Linked DNA regions of Oryctolagus cuniculus. The protein of the gene in region 1 purifies or fractionates together with the protein of each later gene. This does not show direct contact. Links are inferred from orthologs where the notes say so. Each region holds a gene or a part of one and is shown on either strand. Other genes may lie near its edges.

The links.
Region 2: the proteins of UBE3D (region 1) and DNAAF2 purify together in Homo sapiens (affinity purification with mass spectrometry; 4 studies listed by BioGRID and IntAct, counting the BioPlex papers as one, with this or other methods). This does not show direct contact. The link is inferred for Oryctolagus cuniculus from reciprocal best matches to the Homo sapiens genes UBE3D and DNAAF2.

Annotation. Positions count from the first base shown.
Region 1 is NC_091436.1:89,355,205-89,363,487, forward strand, and holds part of UBE3D (E3 ubiquitin-protein ligase E3D), read left to right. Parts: intron 1-4,700; coding exon 4,701-4,894; intron 4,895-8,283. UniProt on the Homo sapiens protein: E3 ubiquitin-protein ligase which accepts ubiquitin from specific E2 ubiquitin-conjugating enzymes, and transfers it to substrates, generally promoting their degradation by the proteasome.
Region 2 is NC_091443.1:26,415,216-26,423,967, reverse strand, and holds the start of DNAAF2 (protein kintoun), read right to left. Parts: upstream 4,554-8,752; 5' UTR 4,424-4,553; coding exon 2,651-4,423; intron 1-2,650. UniProt on the Homo sapiens protein: Required for cytoplasmic pre-assembly of axonemal dyneins, thereby playing a central role in motility in cilia and flagella.

The DNA.
Region 1 (8,283 bases):
GTGTGGCCCTCAAAGCTGGGAAATCTGTTAGTGCATCTTCAGACTTCATGGACGCTGTGCTGGTGGTCCCCGTGAGTCCTTCAGAGCAGGAGAGTCCTGTCAGCCATGTGTCGCATTTCACGGCCACGTATCAGTGTGTCAGTTTGGAAGAGTTGCACGACCCTGACACTTGTAAAGATTATGGCATGATGATTTTGGAGACTGTCGCTCCTTTTGGGTTTGTCTTACATTCGAAGATTCGGGTTATACATCCTTGGCAGGAATTTCACAGTAATGATGCTGTATTCTGCCCGTTGCGTCCTGTTGGGTGGCATGTGATTTTTTTATGTTCTTGGTTATGTTAACTTTGAGCACCTATGGAAGGGGGTGTGCACCAATCTTCTCCACCTGATAGTTTCTCTTTCTTTGTGATTAAGGAGTATAGATTGGGAAGACAGCTATGTAAATACCCTCTTCCTCATCATAGATTCATTTTATGCATTCATTTATTTACTTCAGTAAAAACATATAGTCCTGGTTTATTTGAGTAGCTACTTTTTTGTGCCAGTTCCACTGCATCTGGCCACAGGAGACCTTTCAAGATGATTTGTATCTTTTTGGATATATCTCTGCCATTGTTTGATTTTTTTTCCTTACTTAGTTGCATAACAAGATGTGCCATGCTCCTCTCATTCTTTTCTTGTTGAATGTAGTCATTTTTTCAGGGAACCCTGGGTTTTTTTTTTTTTTGTTATTGTTGTTTTGGTTGGTTTTTAGTAGAAAATGGCCTTTACTAGCCAAGATCTGGACACTGTGCTCATTACTGTTGGGGTGTTCCTTCCCCAGGAAGTGTGTGTGCGTGTGTGTGTGTGTGAGATGTATGCATGTTTATGTATATGCATATACACATAGGAGTACATACATTTACATTCATTTCTATTATTGTATCTGTTTATATGCAGCCGCTTTGGAAACTGACTTCCAATAGACACATTCCATTCTAGTCCACCATCATGGGATTCCATCCTAGTTTTTCTCTCTTTGTGAATCCATTTTCCCTCAGGGAAAATCCTGGCCTTATTGTGCTCATGGCATTGACTTCCCTGGTCAGTGCCCCACTGGTTAACTAATCTGCTGCTGGCATCCTTTACTGCCCCCTCTCCTGCCACTTATTAGTGACATCTCCATACCCGCTTGGACTCTGTTCATAGACTGAGTATTTGTGTCTTCCTCAAATTTATATATTGAGGCCCTAACCCCTCACTGGGATGGTGTTGGGAGGTGGGGCCTTTGGGAGGTAATTTGGTAATGAGGATGGAGCCCCAATAATGAGACACCTGTGCCTCCTCTGTCTACTGTGTTTGTTGTTTAAGGCCTCTGTTCTAAATCTGTGGATTCAGTCAACCCCAAATCAAAAATACTCAGGAAAAAACTGCATCTTTACTGACCACGTGCAGACTTCTTCTTGTCATTATTCGCTAAAAAGAAAAAAACAAACAAACAAACAAAACACAAAAAACACCTATTTACATAGCATTTACCTTACGTTAGGTAGAGATAATTTTATGCCATTTTACATAAGGCACTTGAGCCCCTGCAGACCTTAGTATCCTTGAGGGAAGTGAGGGGGAGGCTGATTCCTGGAATCAAAAAGATAATACCAGGCAGAATTTGTACCAGAGTGGCGGGTGCTGTGGCATAGTGGGAAAAGCCTCCGCCTGCGGTGCTCGCATCCCATATGAGCTCCAGTTCTAGTCCCAGCTGCTCCTCTTGTGATCCAGCGCTCTGCTATGGCCTGGGAAAGCAGTGGAAGATGGCCCAAGTGCTTGGGCCTCTGCACCTATGTGGGTGACATAGAAGAAGCTCTTGGCTTCAAATCGGCCCAACTCTGGCCGTTGTGGTCATTTGGAGAGTGGACCAGTGGAAGGAAGACCTTTTTCTCTGTCTCTCCCTCTCTCTCTGTAACTCTACCTCTCAAAAAAATAGATAAAATCTTAAAAAAAAAAAAAAAAAAAAAAAAGGCTGGCACTGCGGCTCACTAGGCTAATCCTCCGCCTGTGGCACCGGCACCCCGGGTTCTAGTCCCGGTCAGGGCGCCGGATTCTGTCCCAGTTTCCTCTTCCAGTCCAGCTCTCTGCCATGGCCTGGGAGTGCAGTGGAGGATGGCCCGGTCCCTGGGCCTTGCACCTGCGTGGGAGACCAGGAGAGGCACCTGGCTCCTGGCTTCGGATCAGTGCGGTGTGCTGGATGCAGCGCACCAGCTGCAGTGGCCATTGTGGGGTAAACCAACAGCAAAGGAAGACCTTTCTCTCTGTCTCTCTCTCTCACTATCCACTCTGCCTGTCCAAAAAAAAAAAAAAAAACAAAAAAAACAAAAAAAACAAAAGAATATGTAACGGAGGCCATAAAGTTGTAAAGGGAGAATCTTCAAAAACTGATGGAAATGCATTTAATGAAAAACTATGCATGGATTTAAAATTTTTTTTTGCAATGCAGTAAATGTTTAAAATTCCATTTTCTGTGGACTTTTGAAGTCCCTTGTTTATAGCCCAGAGTGTAAAATATTTACTATCTGGCCTTTTATAGAAAGTTTGTTGACTCCTACTTGTAAAGGTTCATTATTTCATAAACATTATTTCTTTTTTTAAAGATTTTAATTTAAGAAAATTTTAAATTAGTTTTCAGCAGATTGAATATAGTTTGTGGATACAATTCTAAGAACATAATGACATTGCCTTTCTCCCACCCTCCTTTCTTTTTTTAGTTTTTGAGATAACATATTTTAAATTTACATTACAGTAAAAAGGCTTAATGCTTCACTGAATAAGAAGTTTAGAAGTAAAAAGCAAAAAGACTGTAGTTTAGTGAGAATAAAGAGGACGGCTATAAACGGTAATTGAGTGGAAAAATGACCATTTCACCCATATACAGCAAATCTTAAAAGTAATCACAGATCATTAAAACTATAGTAGTATACGTTCTTAACCATTGGTTTTACAAAGATATAAAACAAAGTTTTACAAAACTGTATTTGCAAGAATACTGATACAGGGGGCCGGCGCTGTGGCACAGTGGGTTAACGCCCTGGCCTGAAGCACTGGCATCCCATATGGCTCCGGTTCCAGACCCGGTTGCTCCACTTCCAATCCAGCTCTCAGCTATGGCCTGGGAAACAGTTGAAGATGGCCCAAGTCCTTGGGCCCCAGCGCCCGTGTGGGAGACCTGGAAGAAGCTCCTAGCTTTGTATCAGTGTTGCTCTGGCCATTGCAGCCACTTGGGGAGTGAACCATTTGATGGAAGACCTCTCTCTTTCCTTTCTCTCTGTGTAACTCTGACTTTCAAATAAATAATCTTAAGGAAAAAAAAAGAATACTGATACAGGCATTTCTTTTTTTTAATTTTCTTCCCTTTTTTTTTTTTTAACAAATTTAGCTCCCATAATTTCTTTTTACTTTTAAAAAAGATCTATTTATTTGAAAGGCATAATTATAGAGAGAGAAGGAGAGAGAAAGATCGATCATCCGTCTGCTGGTTCACTACCCAAATGGCTGCCCATTTGGCTACAATGGCTGGGTCTAGAGCAGGCTGAAGCCAGAAGCCTGAAACTCCATCCAGATCTCCCATGTGGGTGGCAGAGGCCCAAGCACTTGGGTCATCCTCCACTGCTTTCCCAGGCACATTAGCAGGGAACTGGATTGGAAGTAGAGCAGCTGAGATTCAAATGGACTCTCACGCAGGATGCTGGCATCACAGGTGGTAGCTTAACCTATCGTGCCACAACGCCAGCCCCAACATCATTTGTTGAAATTGAGCTTTTACATCAGGGGTTTGGGGCTGTCTCCCCTGCAAAAAACACAGGTTCTTGATATTCTTTCTGTTTTGCTAATTAAGTGCAGATCCTTATGCTGTGAAGGAACTAGGCAGAAAGTAGACTTAAGATTCTAAGGCAGTTAAGGCAATTAAGAGGCCTAAGCAGGATTCACATGTGCACACAGTCTCTCCTCTGCCCTTAGGTGACATTCAAGCAGATGGCCTTCTGTCTGCACTTATGTGACACCGAGAGGATGGCCTGCCTGCTGTTTGCACTTAAGAGTGAGACATGATACCTCAGTTGCTAAGCACATTTAGGTGTCATAGAGCCATTTCTATTTATTCCTAACCTCCTTCCATGTTGCTGGCAGTCACTTCTGTATGTCTTCTTTCCTTTCTATACTTTTGACACCTGATGGACAGGGAACATGTTTAACTCTTTACTGACTGTATTGAGTACAGTAGTTTGTGTTTATCATGAATTAGTAAGTCCTTTCACACCTGGTGTTCATACATCACTGTATTTTTATTTTATAAGATTAATTTATTTGAAAAGCTGAGGGGGGCAAGGATTTTTTTTCTACCTTTTGTGTCTCTTAATTCTTATTTTATCAAGCTCGTATATATGAAATAACAGTACTTTGCTGTGATTTATAGATAAGATATGATTTTAATACTTGTATCTGAAGAATAACAAATGTCTCCCAGGGCTTTCACGGGAGTGACAGTGAAGGGTACTCTGGCACTGTCTATATCTAGTCTACATCAGCTTGCTTCATAATGTTAGCTGCTGGTTTCTGGGGCAGTGACTTTAGGGCTTCTCTAGAAGAGGAACAGAAATTTCTCCTCCTTCCATCATGTGGTTTTGGCCAATGAGAAATAATTTGTTTTGGTTTTATTTTTATTACTAGGGAGCCACGAGAAGGGCTGCCCATGGACATTTCCATAACACCTTCCTCACTCCAGATGAGAACGTCTGACGGCTGCACAGACATCGAGCTGCCAGCAGAGGTCAGGCTTGTGCCTTCCTCCTGCCGCGGGCTGCGCTATGTCCCTGGAGAGGGACTGCACCTGCGGCTGCAGGCGTGGGCCGAGTTCAGCACCAGTGAGTAGGATTAGCGCTTCTGTTTCAGCAGTTACTGTTTTGTTATAAATTAAAGGTGATTGGACTTTTCCCAGGTGAAAAAACTGCTTGTTGGCGGCAATGGGAAGGCCTGGGGGGTTCAGAACACCCAGGGCCTATGTCAGCTCTGCCAGTTATCAGCTGTGTGTGACTGAATATGCTCCTTGCTGTTTCTGAGGCTTCATTTTCTCTTTCCTTTAGTGTTTTTATCTTTCCAATTTTAATTTATTAATTTATTTGAAAGATAGGTAGAGAGAGAAATCTCTCATTCGTGGATTCATTCCCCAAACACCCAGCAGAGACTTTACTAGGACACTGCTGGGAGCTGGGAACTCAGTCTGGGTCTTCCGTGTGTGTGGCAGAAATCCAGCTACATGGGCCATCACCTTGCTGCTCCCAGGGTGTGCATTATCAGGAAGCTGCGATCAGAAGTCGAGCCAGCGCTCAAACCCAGACTCTCCCATAGGAGATGCAAATATCCCTGTGATGTCTTTTTTTTTTAAGCATTTATTTATTTTTTAGAGAGAGGGGGGAAGGAGCTTTTCCATCTATTAATTCATTTACCTAAATGCATTTAACAGCCCAGGCTGAGCTGGGCCTGAGCCGGGAGCCAAAAACCCTATTCAAGACTCCAACAGGGATTATATGAAGCCAAGTACTCGGTCCATCATTCACTGCCTTCCAGGCACATTCGCAGGAAGCTAGATTGGAAGCACAGAGCAGCCAGGCGCTTGTACCAGGCGCTCTGATACTGGATGTGAACATCCCAAGATGCTTGGCCACAGTGTCCACCCCCAAGTGGTGCCTTAACCATTGCACCCAGTACCTGCCCCATTGTTTTTAATAGACTATTTTTAGAGCACTTTTAGGTTCATAGCACAATTGAGTGGAAGATACAGAGGTTTCCCATATATTCTCCGTTTTGTTTCTTTAATTGTAAAAGTTCCTTGCTCATAGATGTGATGTGAAGATTAAATTGGATGACAATTTTGTAAGACCTGGTTGATCTTAAAGCATTACATAGAGGCCGGCGCTGCGGCTCACTAGGCTAATCCTCCGCCTTGCGGCGCCGGCACACCGGGTTCTGGTCCCGGTCGGGGCGCCGGATTCTGTCCCGGTTGCCCCTCTTCCAGGCCAGCTCTCTGCTGTGGCCAGGGAGTGCAGTGCAGGATGGCCCAAGGACTTGGGCCCTGCACCCCATGGGATACCAGGATAAGTACCTGGCTCCTGCCATCGGATCAGCGTGGTGCGCTGGCCGCAGCGCACCGGCCGCGGCGGCCATTGGAGGGTGAACCAACGGCAAAGGAAGACCTTTCTCTCTGTCTCTCTCTCTCTCTCACTGTCCACTCTGCCTGTCAAAAAAAAAAAAAAAAAAGAAAGCATTACATAGAAATTCATTGACTCAACAAATATTTTAGCTCATACTGTGTGCCAGGCCTTGGTCCAGGCCTTGGGATCCAGAAGTGAACAAGCTAGGGAAAGTCTCTGTTCTCATGGAGTGAACATTCAAAAGAGTGGGGACAGAAAATGAACAAAATAACTGCATCCTGAAAAAAGTGCAGTGAGGAAACTGAAGCCGAATCCTGGAATAGGAACTGCCTCGGATTTACGGGGAGGGTGAGTGGTTGAGCATCACCTGAGGAGGTGATGCTTAGCCAGAGATGTAAGTGACAGAAATGATCCCCTCCTTGTAGAGGCAGTTCTGATTGGAATGGTACATGTAAAGATCCTGAAGTTGACTTTGATGCATAATTTGATTTTTATTTTTGCTTTACCTGTCATATTTGCAGTACTTTGTGGTTGATTGTATACAAACTCAAATTCTATGTTGACTCAGTAACAGAACAGAATTTTCTTTTTGTAATGCCTCACGATTGAACAAAATTGCTGGTTCCTTTAATCTCTTATAATGTAAGTGACGTGCTTTGGAGGATTGAAGTGTTGTAAAATGGGGAAGCAGAGGTTGTGAAAGACTTATGGGACGTTTACGATCAGAGAGATTTCAGTTCTTCAAGCTGTACCCCGAGACTTTGTTGGTCCTTGTCTGTAATCAGCCTTTCATCTAAGCTGCATAGAACCTGCAGGTGGGGTCAGAGGGTTGTTCTAAAGAGCCATTTAGGAGATGCTGAGCAATGGGAAGAGAAGGTAGAGTGCATGCCATTCGTTTTTTGCTGGAGAGTAATTTTTGCTAAGGTTCTGCATAAATGAACTAGTTTGAGTTGGAATGAGTTGGTTTTAAGAACTAGAGGTAAGCGGCCGGCGCCATGGCTCACTAGGCTAATCCTCCACCTGCGGCGCCTGCACCCCGGGTTCTAGTCCCGGTCGGGGCGCCGGATTCTGTCCCGGTTGCTCCTCTTCCAGTCCAGCTCTCTGCTGTGGCCCAGGAGGGCAGTGGAGGATGGCCCAAGTGCTTGGGCCCTGCACCCCATGGGAGACCAGGACAAGCACCTGGCTCCTGGCTTCAGATCAGTGCGATGTGCCTGCCGGGGGCGGTGGCCATTGGAGGGTGAACCAACGGCAAAAAGGAAGACCTTTCTCTCTGTCTCTCTCTCAAACTATCCACTCTGCCTGTAAAAAAAAAAAAAAAAAAAAAAAAAACAAAAACCAACAACAACAACAAAAAAGAACAACAACAACAACTAGAGGTAAGGAAAAGAGATAGAGATCTTAAAAGGCAGTGAACTTAAGGACAACAGTTGGAGTAATCGTAGAAAGGATGGGGTCACTGAGATGGAGATAGACTAGCAGACTCCTGAGTGTATGGATCATGGAGGAGGTTGTTTTGGGGCTGAGGCTGCAGGAGAGTGGATCTTGTGATGCCATTGTCTTCGCCTTTAGCAATGAGCAAGAATAACCACAGCAGGAATTTTGGGTTGAATCTAGAAACTGGGGGAAAAGCAAGCGTGAAAGCCACAGTGAGGCGTTTCTAGTTTCCCTGGGATTGTGATTTCAGGGATGGAGAAATGAAGACCTCCAGGGACGTGTATTAGGTTGTTGACTACCTACATTTTGAAACTGAATACACGAATAGCAAAGCTAGAATTTCTTTTAAAATTTGAAGTTAGCAAACAAACATTGCTTAATGTTAACTGGAGGACGAAATAGACTGCTATGTGTTAGTTTGCATATTGTTGTGTTCATTGGTTTCTTATTTCTTTATACTTTTAAAACATTTTACTCAAGTGCCTGAAAAGGAAAACTTTCAAACCCCTGTTCTGCAGTGCATGAAAAAGTATGCAAAATAGATTCCTCACCATTTAATGGCTTTAGTGCTTTCCACAGAATAGGTGTTGAATAATTATTTGCTGAATTAATAAATTATCAGATGCATACAGATGTGGACTTGAATCAAACTGTATTGTATGGGCGCT
Region 2 (8,752 bases), on another chromosome or scaffold:
TTTTTCTAGGTCTATTACATCTCAGGTATGTTTTTTCTTCCAGAAAATACTACATACAAATGATATTTGTTTTTCCTTTTTTCTCTTTTCCTTTTTTTCTTAAGAGTAACATCACTTCTAAGGAAATAAATGGAATCCCAACTATAAATGTATTTCAGTTCTAGAGCACTTCTTGAGTCAGCTAAGAAATATATGTAACAGGATCTACTCAGATTTTGTGTGACCAGTTTACCTCTTAGTTCTTAGGTAAGGGCCAACTGTAATTTATTTAGAAAAAGTGCATTTTATTTCTAAGAACTGAGATAGTCCACAGTGACACTAATATATAAGAATCAGGTAGATGCTGACATGGAAAGATTTCAAAGCTGTTAGAAAATGCAAATATCACTCTTTCACCTGAATCCCAAACACAAAGCATTCTGTTTATATTCATGACAAATGAGTAAGTATATTAGGTGTTGGGAGGAGTAATCATATTAATCATATTTAAAATTACTTAAAATCAGTTCATTGTTGCTCCAAATAATCTTCCTATACACCTTTTATATACAACTTTTATAATTACAAAATAAACAGCTAATTATTTGGCCCAAATGGGAAAAAAAAAAACAAAGACAAGTTTCAAGTCTTCTGTTCAACAGTATTTGACCTTGTAAGCACCAAACAAAAGTGAACCTGGCTTTGGATCGGCGCAGCTCCGGCCACTGCGGCCATCCGGGGAGTGAGCCAGCAGATGGAAGACCTCTCTCTCTCTACCTCTCTCTGTAACTCTGTCTTTCAAATAAATAAAATAAATCTTTTTTTTTGTTTTTAAATGAACCTCTACAACAGAAAAACACCTCTATAGCTTTTCTACTGTCCATGTCTTGGGAAAATATACTCAGCCCTCAGCACTGTCTCACTGCCAGAAGCACACCAACTATTTTAACTTTTAGTAAATCCGAAATCTGTAATGGAAACGGTTATGATTAAAAGATCTGTATATACTTACCTTGTCATTCTAATAACTGATTTCAGTTTTACAGTAAAATAACACGTGGTCTCTGAGGCTCTGGGAGAATTCCCAGTGAATATTGAAGGGTTAAATAAACATTTAGTATTTTTTGTGCATAAAGCAAATTTGACCTTGATAGTTAAAAAAGTCTCTTTACATAGCGGTTCTTTTCATATAATGCACATGATGATATATTCATGATATATACCTCACTATAATGCTTTTTAAAAATTTGCTTTAATACTCACACCTGGTCCAGTACCATGGAAAGCAAAAGAATACATCATAATTCCATCAACCCTAGCAAATATTATAATTACATAATTATTAATTTCAGACTTCAAAGATAAAAAGTTGTCCTATTTTGCTCTAGTTTCTTGGCCTAAATGTTAGCATACTAGAAAATCTTATTGAAATAAATTATAAAACAGGAACTGCTGTCCATAAAGTTTTCTTCCCACACTGAGAGTTACTTTCACACTTATAAAAACAATGACAGGAAAACGACTGCTGTTTCCTAAATTTCCTCCTTCTGATAACATAAACGTACTCAGTCTCATAAAGTAGCTTACTTAGCCTATTTTACCATTTTTGGAGGGTTTCAAATTAATCACTTCTCAAAGAGACACCCAGCTCATAAAATACAGGTGTAACCGACTAGCAAATTTCTAGAAAAACAACAGGAAAAGTAAAAGTTTCAGTATAAAGCCATGGTCAAATAATTTTTATTATATAATGTGTGTAATTAGTGTTGTTTCTGGAACATGACTCTAGAATATGTTAAAAGAGGTTAACAATCTACATGTAACTTCCATACAAAGCTATCAACTGTTCATTTATGATTTTAAACTCTTTAGAACTTCAAATTTTAAGTAGGTTTTTTCAATATTTGCCAATACTTGTGCTGAATCTAAAATTCAAGAACCTCAGTAGCCTAAGAAGTATCAAACTACCAGAGAACATATGAAGTTATTCCTTCCCAGTTACTCTGCTGAGTAGGCCGGGCAACGCTCGGCCCAGTTCTAAAAGCCTTTGCCCAGGAAGAGGGCAGCTAGCGGAGGGGATGTCGAGCTCCACAACTACCCGACTTCGTTCAGTACCGGCCGTGTGTTCGCTGACCAGCAGGGACCAGAGAATGATTACAACCGACAGACGAAGAAGCACAACCCTACACTCGGGACGGAGATGCGATTTAGAGTCACAACTTCGTTTTCCCACATAAAAGCTGTGTGACACTGGCGGAGGTCCGTGACCTCTCTGGACGTCAGCTGCTGTTATTACTGCCTTTCTAAGTTGGGAAAAAGTGCTTTAAGCACTTCCAATGTGGTCATAAACGCCTGGGGAAATACGACTAGAGTCACAGCCCTTCTGCCCAGAAGCAGGCACCCTCCGCTGCTGGCCACCCCTGCCCTCCGCTTCGCAGGCGGGGGACCCAGGAGGGCAGTGCGCACACGTCGAGGACCGGAAATCCATGCGCCACTTCTTAAAAATGCTGACTGTGCACTAGCTTTCAACGTGCATACCAATTTCTAGTATTTACAGAAAAATTAAGGGTGGCTTTACTTTGTTTAGAATATATTGAGAGGGTGCCTAACAGGACACTTTAAAAGTGGCATGAAATATGTCAAACCTTAAGACTCTAAAAAGAACTGTTACCTCCAAAGATGCGTCGTTTAAGCCGTAAAACCACTGCTTCCAGTGTCCATAGCTCCCCGGAGATTTGGCCAGTTCTATCACGGCATTGTCTGAGGAAATACTAATCACGGGCTCTCTGGTGCTCAGCTTATTCTCGGGCGCAAACTGCAGAAGGAAGGCGTAAGCCGAGTCCTGCGCGGAGAAGCACACGTGGTACCCGAGGGGGCTCACGTCCCCTCGAAGGCTTTGCGGCTGGATGCGCGGCACGCCAATGAGCAGGGTCAGGGTTTCCTCATCCTGGTTACACTGCAAGGGGGGACACACAGGTCCCCTCCTCTCGGGGCAGGGACCACCGCCCATGGCCGGGTCCCCGGGCTCGCGGCCCGAGCCCGGCCGGCGCACGCCCCCTCCTCCGGCGGGAGGCTGCCCGTCGAGGCCCAGCGCTGAGGGACCAGAGGGGTCTCCGTCCCCGTCCCCAGGAGGCGGCGGCGACCCCGCGACCCCGTCAAAGTCCCGCTCCTCTCCAGCGCCAGCCGGCGGAGGTGCCACCTCGGGGCCACCTGCGGCGGGGACCCTATCGGCCGCGGTTCGGCCGGAATCCGGGGCTCCGTTCCCCACCGCGAGACCCCCGGCCAGTCCCGCCTCCTCCTCTTCCTCCTCCTCTTCCTCCGAGGCGCGGGTCGCGTCGTCAGTTCCGGCCCGGCCGGGGCTCTCTTCCGGCGCGGCGGTGGCGGCCGGCACCACGGGCAGCGTGACCACCAGCTGCCGTCGCGCCTTGTGGAACTGCGCGTGGCCGCGGCTGTCGTCCACCGGGTACGGGAGCGAGAGCCGCAGCCGGTAGTCAGGCTTCCGCGAGTCCAGGCACAGCAGCTTGCCCGTCACCTCCAGCGCCGCCTGCTCGGCCGAGCGCAACAGCGGCAGCTCGATGGTGACCACCAGCTCGCGGGGCACGGGGCTCGGGGCCGAGTCCCGGGAGCAGCGGTAGTCCTGGAGGTCCACGTGGTGGCGCTGCACCACGCTGTAGCGGGGCTCGGTGGGCGCGGGCGGCGGGGCCGGCTCCGGCGGGGACGGCGCCCGGGGCCGAGGGCCGGCGGAGCTTCCGGAAGCGGCCGGGTAGCTGTAGGGGTAGGGGAAGGCCAGGAGGGGGTCGTCTGGATCCCCCTCGGGCCGGGCCGGGGCGCCGCCGGGCAGGGGCGTGCGCAGGACGGCGGCCTCCGGGGTCCCCTTGTACTTGACCTTCAGGGTCTTGGCGTTCCTGCGGTCCAGCCTGACGCCGAACTGCTTCTGCACGGCCTCCAGGGCCGTGTCGTCCAGCATGTGGCGGAGGCGCTCGTGGCGCCGCGCCAGCGCCAGCGCGTCGGGGTGAAAGACCACGTCGTAGACGGTGTAGCGGCTGCCGCTGCGCCCCGCGTACTCGCGGGCCGGCGCCAGGCTGTAGGGCAGGATCCAGTGGCTGCCGGGCGCCCCCCGGTCGGAACCGGGCCGGCAGCTGGGCGCGCCCACCAGCGCGTTGCAGCACACGTTCACGAAGCAGCGCCGCGTCCCGTCCAGGCTGGTGCGCAGCACGTGGCCCGGCTCCGGGTGCACGAACCGCACGTCCACGCCGCGCTCCCGCTCGAGCGCGGTGATCTCCGCCTCGTAGAGCCGCCGGTTCTCCGGGTCGTTGAGCTGCTCGGCGTACTCGGAGAACATTCGCCGGAACTCGGGGTCCTGGAAGGCGGAGGTGAGCCTCTGGACCTCCTCTCCGCTCAGGTCCAAGTCCTCCAGCCGCGAGGAGGCTGCCCCTTTGGCCATGCTGCTGCCCCGCGGCTCCTCACCCTCCGGGCCAAGCCAGATGAGGGCCCGGCCGGGCAGACGCGCCGCCGAGTGCAGTGCGCGGAGCCCTGGGCAGCAGCGGCGGGTAACGGCTGGAGGCCGCGCGTGCCTGTTGCCATGGCGACAGCTCCGCCGCCCGGGGGAGGGGCAGGAATGAGCTAGGCGCCGAGGAAAGGCCAGCCGGAGCCGCTGCTGCCTTCACACCTGCCGGCCACCCTCCTGGCTGTGTTTTCTGGAGTCCTGTCCCACAGTGCATTTTCTTCTGCAGGCCGTGATTTCCAGCACTATGTGTGTTGTCCCACTCATAACGCTGTAAGATGAACTTCCCATAGAATTATAAATAATTCCCTAAATATTACTTACTCCGTAGGTGATATGTAGTTTCCTATCAAAATAGCAGGTTTTTTAAAAATTGTGTTTCCTCAGAGTGGGAGTAGACTTTAAATGCCTGCACTTTTGTGTTGACTCAGATAATCTCAGAGTATTTGACTTAGTCCTGGCAGAGTGTGTTCAAGGCAATACCATTTAGTTTGTTTGTTTGTTTGTTTGTTTTTAAGATTGATTTATTTGAAAGAGTTACACAGAAAGAGGAGAGGCAAAGAGAGTCTTCCATCCCATGGTTCACTCTCCAATTGGCCGCAACGGCCAGAGCTGCACTGATCTGAAGCCAGGAGCCTCCTCCGGGTCTCCCACATGGGTGCAGGGGCCCAAGGACTTGGACCATCTTGTACTGCTTTCCCAGGCCATAACAGAGAGTTGGATCGTAAGTAGAGCAGCTGGGTCTGGAACCAGTGCCCATATGGGATGCCAGCACTGCAGGCCAGGGCGTTAACCCACTGCGCCGGCCTCAATAGCATTTACCCTAAAGGTTTAGGAAGAATCTACAGTGGAAACAATGGAGCTAATTTTACTGCTGCCATACGATGGAATTTTATGCATTTGAAGGGATCTCATAGAAGTATATTTATTGACTGGGGTAGTTATTTAAGAATTAGTATTAGTCCGGCGCCGCAGCTCAATAGGCTAATCTTCCACCTTGCGGCGCGGGCACACCGGATTCTAGTCCCGGTTGCCCCTCTTCCAGGCCAGCTCTCTGCTGTGGCCAGGGGGTGCAGTGGAGGATGGCCAAGTGCTTGGGCCCTGCACCCCATGGGAGACCAGGAGAAGCACCTGGCTCCTGCCATCGGATCAGCGTGGTGCACCGGCCACAGCGCGCCAGCCGCGGCCGGCCATTGGAGGGTGAACCAACGGCAAAGGAAGACCTTTCTCTCTGTCTCTCTCTCTCTCTCACTGTCCACTCTGCCTGTCAAAAAAATAAAAAGAATTAGTAGTGAATCTAGTGATCGTCTGCTTTCAGCAGTACTTAGCACAGCCGGTGCTGCCGCTCCCCAGTGAGGCGGTCTCCCCAGGTTCCTCCCCTGCCTTCTCAGCGCTCGCTCTTACTCTGCCCTGCCGTCTGCCTCTGTTCAGTCTCCGGGGCTCCATCCACATTCTCCCTTCACATTGCTTACACTCACGAATACCAAACTTGTGCTTCAGGTCCTTCTTTCTAGACTTGTTTTTTATTTATTTGAAAGAATTACAGAGAGAGAGGTAGAGACAGAGATATTCCATCTGCGGGTTCACTCCCCAAATGGCTCCAATGGATAGGGCTGGGCCAGGCCAAAACTAGGAGCCAGAGGCTTCTTCTGGGTCTCCCACCTGGGTGCAGGAGCCCAAGTGCTTGGGCCGTCTTTCCCAGGCACATCAGGGAGCTGGATCAGAAGTGGAGTGGAGCCCACCAGGATTCCACCAGATGCCAATATGGGATGCCAGCACTGCAGGCGGTGGCTTAACCTGCTATACCACAACGGCGACCCCATACTTCGGGTTCTGGGTTTCAGACTCCTGTACCCAGCTGCCCATTTGACATCTCATTGAATAATTACTCATTGTCTCTCAAGCTCGAAACAACCAAAACCAGAACTCCTGACTTCTCTCCTTTTCCAAATCCCTGTCTTGCATATGATCTCTTGGCAGCATTCAAAGCAGGAGACCGTCCTGGGCTTCACGCCTATTTTTCTCTTGGCTTACAGAATGCCAAGCTCCCCTGTTCCGGCTTTGTAGCAGTTCTGCCAGTTCTCTAAGTGTGCGGATCACTCAAGGCTCTGTCCAGCACCCTCTCATCTAATCACTTCCTTTTACGATGTTATCTGAGCCCACACCTTTAAATGCCATCCATGTCAAGTCCTTTTGTTAGATAATTATTCCACATTTCTGCACTTACTATCTAGGTTATCACTAAGTCAGTGTTCCCCACGCTGCAGCAGAACATAAAATCATTGTCCCTTGAGGATATGAAGCAGCTGGCCCACTTGGGAAGAGCTGTTACTGCTGGAAGTCTAAAGATATGCATAACGCTATCTTTTTATAGGAAGATTATTTATCTAAGATTTATTCATTTGGAAGGCAGAGTTAAAGAGGCAGAGAGAGATCTGACCCAGCCTCTGCTATTGGAGCAATTTGGGGAGTGAAACAGCAGATGAAAGATCTGGGTTTTTTAATTTATTATTTATTTATTTATTTATTTTTATTTGAAAGATCTGTTTTTATCTCTCCCTCTCTGTAATTCAGCCTTTGGAATAAATAAGTCAACTTTTTTTTTTTTTTTTTTTTTTTTTTTTTTTTTTTTTTTGACAGGCAGAGTGGACAGTAAGAGAGAGAGAGACAGGGAGAAAGGTCTTCCTTTTTTCATTGGTTCACCCCCCCCCAAGTGGCTGCTATAGCCGGTGCGCTGCGCCGCTCCAAAGCCAGGAGCCAGGTGCTTCCTCCTGGTCTGCCCTGCGGGTGCAGGGCCCAAGGACCTGGAGTATCCTCCACTGTACTCCAGGGCCACACCAGAGAGCTGGACTGGAAGAGGAGCAACCAGGACAGAATCCAGTGGAACTAGAACCCGGGGTGCTGGCGCCACAGGCGGAGGATTAGCCTAGTGAGCCGCGGTGCCGGCCAAGTCAATCTTTTTTAAAAAGAAAAGAAAATGGTGAAACAATGCATATGTTATGACACCACTGTATAATAGGCAAAACTTGGCTAAATAACTCTGCTTAAAACCAGGCTGTACTGGGGCCGGGGCTGTGCATAGTGGGTAAAGCTGCCGCCTACAGTGCCGGCATCCCATATGGGCACCGGTTCAAGTCTCTGCTGTTCCACTTCCAATCCAGCTCTCTGCTATGGCCTGGGAAAGCAGTAGAAGATTGCCCAAATCCTTGGGCCCCTGCTCCTGTGTGGGAGACCCGGAAGAAGCTTCTGACTCCTGGCTTTGGATTGGGCAGCTGGGGCTGTTGCGGCCAATTGGGAAGTGAACCATCTGATGGAAGACCACTCTCTCTCTCTGCCTCTCCTCTCTCTGCGTAACTCTGACTTTCAAATAAATAAATAAATCCTTTAAAAAAAAAGAAATCGTAAAAAAAAAAAAAAAAAAAAAAAACAGGCTATACAACTGGTTTGTCAAGTTTTAAAGTAATACCTACTAATAATTTTCTTAAACAGAAAAAGAGAATGACAGTCTTGTGATGGCCCTTTGCGGGGACCATGGGTATTGTGATTGGGAGGAAATGAGGGAACTGGGGTGGGGATCTCTTTTTCCTCAAAGATGTTTTTTAGTGTGTCCCGTTTGCTGGTTCACTCTCCAAATGTCTCTTTCCAAGGCTGGAGTCAGGAGCTGGGCACTCAATCCAGATTTTCCATGTGGGTGCCATTCCCGCTGCTTCTAAGAGTCTGTATTAATAGGAAGCTGGTGTCAGGAACAGCAGCCAAGAATCCGACCTTGGCACCGTCTGTGTCCTTCCCCAAACAGAAGCCCAGGACGCCTTTCACCGCCTTCCTCTGCTGCCCCACCTTTCAGACTGCAGCTTCCTTTTCATTTCTAGACAGCACTGGTTCTGGCTCCTGCCACTTTTACTCAGGTGCTTAGCGCTTGCGTCTGGCAGCTGGCCTGCTTTAGGTAACCTGCTTTGCTTATCTCGCTTCCCCTTGTCAAATGCTTACGTGTACCCTGTCTTCGTAGCCACTACCGGTTCCTAAAAAGACCTCAGAGTACCTCAACTTTACTTGTAGAAACAGTTTCTTTTAAATGAAGGGATACTTTTATCTGATTTTTTTAAAAAGATTTATTCATGGGGACCAGCACCGTGGCGCACTGGGTTAATCTGCCTATGGCGCCGGAATCCCATATGGGCACCGGATTCTGTCCCGGTTGCTCCTCTTCCAGTCCAGCTCTCTGCTGTGGCCCGGGAGTGCAGTGGAGGAGGGCCCAAGTGCTTGGACCCC